Linked DNA regions of Arabidopsis thaliana. The protein of the gene in region 1 interacts with the protein of each later gene in a pairwise test. Each region holds a gene or a part of one and is shown on either strand. Other genes may lie near its edges. The genes, in order: AT1G63840 and AT4G14490.

What was found.
Region 2: the proteins of AT1G63840 (region 1) and AT4G14490 interact in a two-hybrid assay, tested with the Arabidopsis thaliana proteins (one large-scale study listed by BioGRID).

What each region holds. Positions count from the first base shown.
Region 1 is NC_003070.9:23,688,821-23,692,736, reverse strand, and holds AT1G63840 (RING/U-box superfamily protein), read left to right. Parts: upstream 1-1,929; 5' UTR 1,930-2,245; coding exon 2,246-2,746; 3' UTR 2,747-3,134; downstream 3,135-3,916.
Region 2 is NC_003075.7:8,331,096-8,335,466, reverse strand, and holds AT4G14490 (SMAD/FHA domain-containing protein), read left to right. Parts: upstream 1-1,887; 5' UTR 1,888-1,892; coding exon 1,893-3,053; 3' UTR 3,054-3,664; downstream 3,665-4,371. Other genes in the region: AT4G14500 (Polyketide cyclase/dehydrase and lipid transport superfamily protein), read right to left, coding at 347-509, 703-1,076; AT4G14480 (Protein kinase superfamily protein), read left to right, coding at 3,923-4,371.

The DNA.
Region 1 (3,916 bases):
CTATGTTAATGTATATAGTTATAGTTGCAAAAGAAAAAAGAAAGTGTTAAATTTTGGAATGTGAAATGTTGGAGGAGAAGATGGAGAGAGTGTGAGGTGGGTCAGTGCTGCTTTTGGCTCTTTCATTACATTAGTCAGATTCCCATATGACATGAGACTTTCGCTCTTCCTCAGAAATAGATCCCTTAATATTGTATTCTAGAAGTATATTTGACATAACGGAATCAAAAGCCAAATTGAAGAGCTATGTGGACTTTTCTACGTAATTAATTTAGGTCTTAATATACTTAGTATACACTCTCAAAATGCTAGTAATTAATATAGCAAATGACGAATATGTAGATTGATGATAGTTCAACTAGTCATGTAATGATGTGAAGATACAAACATAATATGCATTTGAACTCAAATCCTATCAACCATAAGTAACATTTGGGTACCCATATTTATACCAAAACGTAACAGCCAATTAAAAAATCTGGTAAAATTTCATAGAAAACGACGTAATCGTGATACCTTTGTTTACTACTAATCTTGATACTTTATGATTTACATCCATGTGAAAATAAAATCATGTAGACCAAAAATTTCTCATACAAAAACATTAAAAATAGAAATAATGGTTTTGCAATATTTTGTTAAAACAGTTAATTTTTTTAAAAAAATACACACGTATATATTCATAGTTTATATACTTTATAGGCTTATAGCATAGTTCAATAGAGGTACAGACAAACTGAAAAGAAATGAACCTAACTATCTGTCTTCACCTCGATTATTTGTCGTCTGTCTGACTATTTTAATTTAATTCTAATAATTTATGAATGTGACTAGTTTGGCTTATAGGCAAAGATCAATTTTTAGAGTGGGGTTATTGAATATTGTATTCTAACGGAATTGTATGTATTTTCAAAGACACGGTGACATCCACTGTCATTCAATTTCTATTTGATTTTGTTACATTTGAGTTTCAATGTATTATTTTGTCTAAATCACGAGTAAAACAAATACGAGCCTTTTATCTCTGATTTTGATGTATTTCTCATAAAAATTATAAACAAAATAATTATTCCCAAAATTGTTTTATTTCTCTTTCATCTAACAAAGAGATAAAGAATCAGAAGCATTTTGAGAACAATATAATGGCGAAGAAACTGCAAGATCCACCGATGGCATCTTCAAAATGGAGCCTTCGGCTTTGGAGGAGGAAGATCGTATTTTAAGAACAGAAATTCGATCATTCATCCAGATCTGATCCCTTATGTTGCAGTTCCCACTCTCTTTTTTTCTTTTCTTTTTTGCCATTTATGATGCAGTGACTCTTTGAACATGAGTGAAGTTCAAAGAGAACTCAGTCAAAATCCATACCAATTAACGATTAACACATTACAACGTAATACATAAGTCGTGTATTGTAGTGACTTTGTCAAAATCCAAATTCAGTTACGCTAAAATACATTGAAAACATCAATCCAATAATTTTGAACCAAAGATTCAAATAAAAACACGATTTTTTTTATTTTGTAATCGAACGATTTTGAACCAAAGTATAGACTAATTAATATTTGGGATTTTTAGAAAAGTTTAATATATTTAAACCCTCATGGGTTAACCTAGGTATGAGTTTTTTTTTTTCATTTGTAATATGTTGATTATGTGTATTCTTGGGTGCTATAAGCAGAAGTTACATTTCTGTCTCCGTATACCGTATTAAAAATAATGTATACTCAATTGTAAATATCTTTGATTATGTCATTATGTATTTCATGTATACATGTCTTTTCTCCTAAAACTTTTATACCACTTCATAAATCAAGAATTGTAAGAAAGTTAAAATTAAATAAACAGAAATTTAGTGTTTAAATCTGATTTAAAATGGAAATTTGAAAGTAACGAGTTTATTATATAGTAAAATACATATAAGAAATTATTTAAAACCCTTATTTAAATTATATAGAAAAAAAAAAGGTCAAGTAGTCTTCTATTATTTACTAGTATAACCTCTAGAAACATCATCACCACATTCCTGGCTAATATCCTTCATCTAGAACAATTATTAACGAATCAAAATACCAAAAAACAAAGCACCTCATTGACTATTAAATTAGTACTAATACATTAATTAAGTTATTATTCCTATATATAAATCTCACCCATTCTCCACCTTATCATCACAATCCAAAACTCTCTCTCTCTCTCTCTCTCTGTCTCTTGTCTTATCATTTATCTCTCTAACGGCGAGGCAATGGGTTTTCCGGTGGGATATTCTGAGCTACTTCTCCCAAAAATCTTTTTCTACTTGTTATCTTTCTTAGGTTTGATACGTAAACTCATCTCCACAATGTTCAAGATCATTGGTCTACCAGATTTCTTAGAACCTGAACCGGTTTCAACCTCATGGCCCGACCCACCACCCACGTTGACCAAACCTGACTCAGCAGCAATACTAGCCGGAGAGATGTTACCGGTTGTTCGATTCTCGGATATAAACCGACCGGAATCCGAGTGTTGCGCAGTGTGTCTCTACGATTTCGAGAACGACGACGAGATCCGACGGCTGACGAATTGTCGACATATATTTCATCGGGGATGTTTGGACCGTTGGATGATGGGTTATAATCAGATGACGTGTCCACTTTGTCGTACACAGTTTATACCTGATCATCTTCAACTGGAGTTTAATCAAAGGCTCTGGTCTCAATCTTCTGCTGTTTCTTCTCAACTTCTTGATGAATCATCATCTTAGGACGTATTAAATCTTTGTCCAAACAAAAAAAAAAGACATATTAAATCCTTTTTTTTTGGTACTTTCATTGGGAATTGGGTTTGGTGTGAGATCGATGTAAATATTAAACAAAAAAAAAAAGGTAGTGGTTACAGGTTAATGAAAAAAGAAAGAAGAAGAAAATTTGTACTTATCCATCCCTGAAAGATGAAATTACATTTTGAGTTATTATAAAGTTGTAAACTTTTTTTTTTTGTTAAGGAAAAAAAAAATCATTTGCTATAACAGATTAATACTGAATGTGTTAGTTTTTTAGTACAGTATTTTAATAAACATTGTTTAGAAGTTATTTTTTAATTGTTACTTGTTCACCTGGCTAACTCAATGATACTGACATATTGTTTTTTGATTAAAGGCTTACATCAATGATATCTTTCTTTTATAATTTAAAATCAACAAGCATTATGCATAGGTCATTGAAGATAAGATTGTTTGTTCATCCCTATAACATGCTGAACTAATATATTTCAACATGTATTTGAGGGTATTTGAAATGTTCTATAAGTGGTAATAACAAAACTGAAGTCGGAAACCGATATGATTATTCCCCACAAGTGCTAACATCATGTATTTAGGTTCTCATCCGATGACATGTCTTGAAAGAAGCAAAAATTAATGGCGAAATCGTCATGAATATAGATATATCTTGGACATTGCATTTGACTTTTGTTTGATCACGTCTCTCACAAAGGAGCTTGGTGTGTCCTTTACGATTTATCATGTGATCTATTGTGACAATGCTGGAGCTATCTATCTATGGGATAATCATTTTGTTTCATTCTTGTTTGAAACATGTGGCACTTGACTATCATTTTATCCTAATCATGTTTTTCACTCCCGGTTTCTTATGTATTGTTCATATTTCGTCAAAAGATCAATTAGCAGATACATTCACCATATTTTTTGCTTACTATATTTTGCTACTTGTTTTGACAAAATAAGCTAACCTATATCTATCATTTATATTGAAGATAAGTATATAAGAGCTATCTAGTAAATATGTGTAATTTACACTTTTCTACTGAAACTAGAACTTTTACTTGTATATATATCCCAAGTTATGTTCTTTGTGTGGGAAAAAAAAAGTTAGGTTTCTTTGTATAAATATAGTTGTATCTCTATCATTAATCA
Region 2 (4,371 bases), on another chromosome or scaffold:
CAGTTTCAAGTAAAATGTCACAAAAATGCCACACAAAGGGGTAAATGCAACAACGCATCACATCGTGCCCAAAAAGAACCAAAGCTAAACAAAGAAACACAATGTATACTACTAGACACCTAAAAATTGATCGTCTATAGCTATCCTTAGAAACATATCTCCCTCGTCATTACCAATAAACCTAAAAGCAGTGGTCTGATTCAGATGTCATTCAAATTACTCTAAAGAATTCATTTTTTCGACTATTCCGCCTACTACTCAATGACTTAGCTTGTTCCTTGAGCTACATCATTCAGGCGTAGCATAAGGAAACGGATACAAAGCAAGAGTATAAAACTTAGATTACCTCAGGCTCATGACGCCAAGCCTGGTAGCTCATATTTGGAGTAGTCTTATCCATCATAGATTGCCATTCCAAAGCTGCATTTCCAACTTCAAGCAGCTGAAGCAGATGCTCTAAATCATTCTCTGTCACAATATCCTCTGTCACCGTCCCGTTATCGCTACCTCTGCAAATATAACCAATCCATAAATCAACTAATGCAAAAAAAAAAAAAACCATTCTTTTGCCAATGCTATTGCGAAACTAAAAGATAATGCAAACACTATATACCTTATCTAGCTAAATTAAAAGTAAACGTTACGTTTTAAAACAGAGAACTAAAACTTCTACATCTTCCAATAATTAAGCATTACACTAACCTTGAGGCCAATCCTGATTCATCATTATCCTCAACAGGCGTCTGCGACGAAGCTGAACCGGTCGCCGATTTATTAGCTCTGGTGTCATTCCTTGACCAGATGGTTCGGCAAACGGAGAAAGCAGAGAGAGCGGTGAAAGCAAGCCAAAGCCGACGAGCACCAAACCCAGGCGGTGCGGTCCATAAAAACCGAAGCTTAGAACGAAACCCTAAATAGATCAAACCGGTCCATCTTGGACGCCAAGACCATCCGATTAATAACCCGATCATAACGGCGAGCCAAATCGGAACTGCGCATAGTAAGATGTCGACAAATGTCTCTGTAAAAGAGGGATTCTTAAAGAAATTCAATAGATCAAAATAGGTCTCATCCATAGCGGATTCTCTAGATTCGATACTTTACTCCGATTTGGATAAAAAAATTTCCCGAGAAAAAATGTCAGATTCCCGAAGGAAAATGGGATTCGAAGATCGCTAAAAATTTAAGCGACATGAATCAGGAGAATCAAAGACGAAGACGAAGAAGAAGAAGAAGGGATAATAATAATTTTTTTCTTTTTATTTAATTGAGTTTGGTGATTTAATTGATTAAATCATAAAAAGAAAAAAATGTGTTCTGATATTATTTGCTGTGCTTGAAACGACGTTGGCGGGTGAAAGGAAATGATAAGGACAAGCATAGTGGCGATGACGTGGCGCTTTCGTTGACCGACAAGTTATATCCCACGCGTCAGATCTTAGCGCGTCGTGTTCACTACGTAGAGGAATATACTCAAAAATCAATTATTGTGTTAGCATTAGAAGCACGTTTTGTTGATTTGCAACAATTGTAGATAAGAGCCTAATTAATTTATAGGAGTAAGGTTAAATTTGGTTGATTTCGAATATAAAAGGGAATTTTAACAGTGGATATCCAAATGATGAGGTGAGATACACGCGAGGGTAAAGGAGCGTGAGGGGAAAAAGGTTGGAAAAAAAGTGGATAAGGGAGAGATAAGTTTGCTGAGAGATTCACGTGTGTTGCTGGAAGTTTGGGTAATCAATAATGCCAGTTGTTTAGCCAATAGTAGCTTTTAGCCTTGAAATTGTTTTATCGTCGAAACGATAAAAGCCCATTTAAGGCCCATTAATAATTGGAGCGTCAGACAAATCAAAATTTCAAAATTCGCATTTGGGAGAGAAACGGTAACAATGGTTACGCCATCGTTGAGATTAGTATTCGTCAAGGGTCCAAGAGAAGGCGATGCTCTAGATTACAAGCCTGGATCTACGATTCGTGTTGGTCGAATCGTTCGTGGTAATGAAATCGCAATTAAAGACGCTGGAATCTCCACTAAGCATCTTCGGATCGAATCGGATTCTGGGAATTGGGTAATACAAGATCTTGGATCTTCCAACGGTACTTTATTGAATTCGAATGCTCTTGATCCAGAGACGTCGGTAAATCTCGGAGATGGCGATGTTATCAAACTAGGTGAGTATACATCTATTTTGGTGAATTTTGTGATTGATGATTTTCAGGAGAAGAAGCTTACGAGGAACAATAGGCGTCAGGCTAATGCGAGGAAGCGAATTAGGGTTTTAGAAAGTATCAATTTGGGGGATATCACTGAGGAAGAAAAGGGTTTGGATGTGAAATTTGAGAACAAGCCGAGTTCTAGGGTTAGGAAAGTTAGGAAAATCGAGGATTCGGAGAAATTAGGGATTACTGATGGATTACAAGAGGATCTGGTGGAGAAAAATGGAAGCTTTAGGAATGTTGAAAGTATTCAGAGTTCATCTGTAAACTTAATTAAGGTTGAAATGGAGGATTGTGCAATGGTGGAGGAAAATTTAGGGAGGGGATTGAAGAAGAGAGTGAGCAGTAAGGCTACGAGGAGCAAGAAGATTGAAGAAAGTGTAGGAAAAGCTTGTTTGGGAGTGGTTAATGTAGAGAAGGTAGAGACTTTAAAGGAGAAGAGGATTACTAGGGCTACAAGAAGCAAGAAGATTGATATTGTTGGAGATTCTTATTTGGAATTGGACATGGTTCTAAATCGAGCCAGAAAGAACAAAGGGAAGAACAAGAAAGCGGATCAGAAGCCGTTGAAGAGCTTTGAAAATGATGAGGTTACTGATTCAGGAGAGCAGGGTTTAAGCTGTCATGTTGAAGAAGATATGAACAATGAACTTGATACAGATCTAAGAAAGATGACATTAGGAGCATTGTTCAGTTTTCTGGAGGGTCATCTGTCAAAAGAGATAATTCACAAGACAGAAAATATGATTGAGCCCATGCGAAGTAAAACTCAGAGAGTTCGTGAGTATATTTCAGATCAAAGAAAAGTTCAGGCTAAAGCGTGTATGTGTTGAATTGACAAAGTGTCCAACTGATATGGTGCACACTGATTATTGGTATAGCTTCAGTTCATGGAATAAGAAACACATACTGACAGGTACAAGTTTCTTATGAAGTAGACCTTAATGCTGTGGGATTGGCTGTGTTGCTTAGAGTTTTGACTGCATTGATTTACTTGCATTTGCTTTACGTGTGAGACAAAGTAAACAGTGAAGTGCTGATGTTTAAGTAGGTTTCATAAGTCTTTTGCCCACTTTATAGTATATGTTTCAAGGACATCCCTGAAGACTTATAAAACAAGTTCTGTTCCATTGTGATTTTATCTTAGCATATTGATGTTTGAATACTTGATCATTCATTTTACCAAATGTCAAGAAGGCTGACGTCTTTTCTCTAGTCTTTGTTTCCTTCTCATGTGGTCAAAGGCAAATGCAAGTTCTTCAGAAATGCCATGAAAAAAAAGTTGTAAAACGAGTCTAGATATCTAAATCTAGAACTTTAAATTTCTGTGAAATGATGAAAATAAATTTTCATAGCTCCATTTAATTTTTGTACCTTTACCGGTTTGAAGTTGAAATGATAGTGTTTGCCCTTTGGGTCCCTGGAAAGACCAAAGGTAAAATCTCATTAACTAAGGTTAGTTAGTTAGCTCTTTCACATGCTTCATCTTATTGTTTCATCAACATATTTTTAAGTAAGAGATAAGGGTTTTGCTTTTACATTAAAGGCTCTCTTTTTTTTCAAGTTCACATGCTAAACCAACTCTTTCTTTTTTCATCCCTATATGAATAGCCTCATGGTACTATTAGCCTCTAAAAGACCACAATTCCACTAAAAACATAACAATTCAATAAGCAAGAGTGTACTCATCTTCTTTCTATTTATGGCTCGGAACAAGCTCGAGTTCCCTCTTGATGCTGAAGCCTACGAGATCATCTGCAAGATAGGCGTTGGTGTTAGTGCTTCGGTCTACAAGGCCATATGCATTCCGATGAACTCAATGGTAGTTGCTATCAAAGCCATCGATCTTGATCAGTCGCGGGCTGACTTTGACAGTCTTCGCCGTGAAACCAAGACGATGTCTCTGCTTTCTCATCCGAATATTCTCAATGCTTATTGTTCATTCACCGTTGATCGATGTCTCTGGGTGGTTATGCCATTCATGTCTTGTGGCTCTCTTCATTCGATCGTCTCTTCGTCTTTTCCAAGTGGGTTACCAGAAAACTGCATTTCCGTCTTCCTCAAGGAAACTCTGAATGCAATCTCGTATCTTCACGATCAGGGTCATTTGCACCGTGACATCAAGGCAGGTAACATTCTGGTAGATTCTGA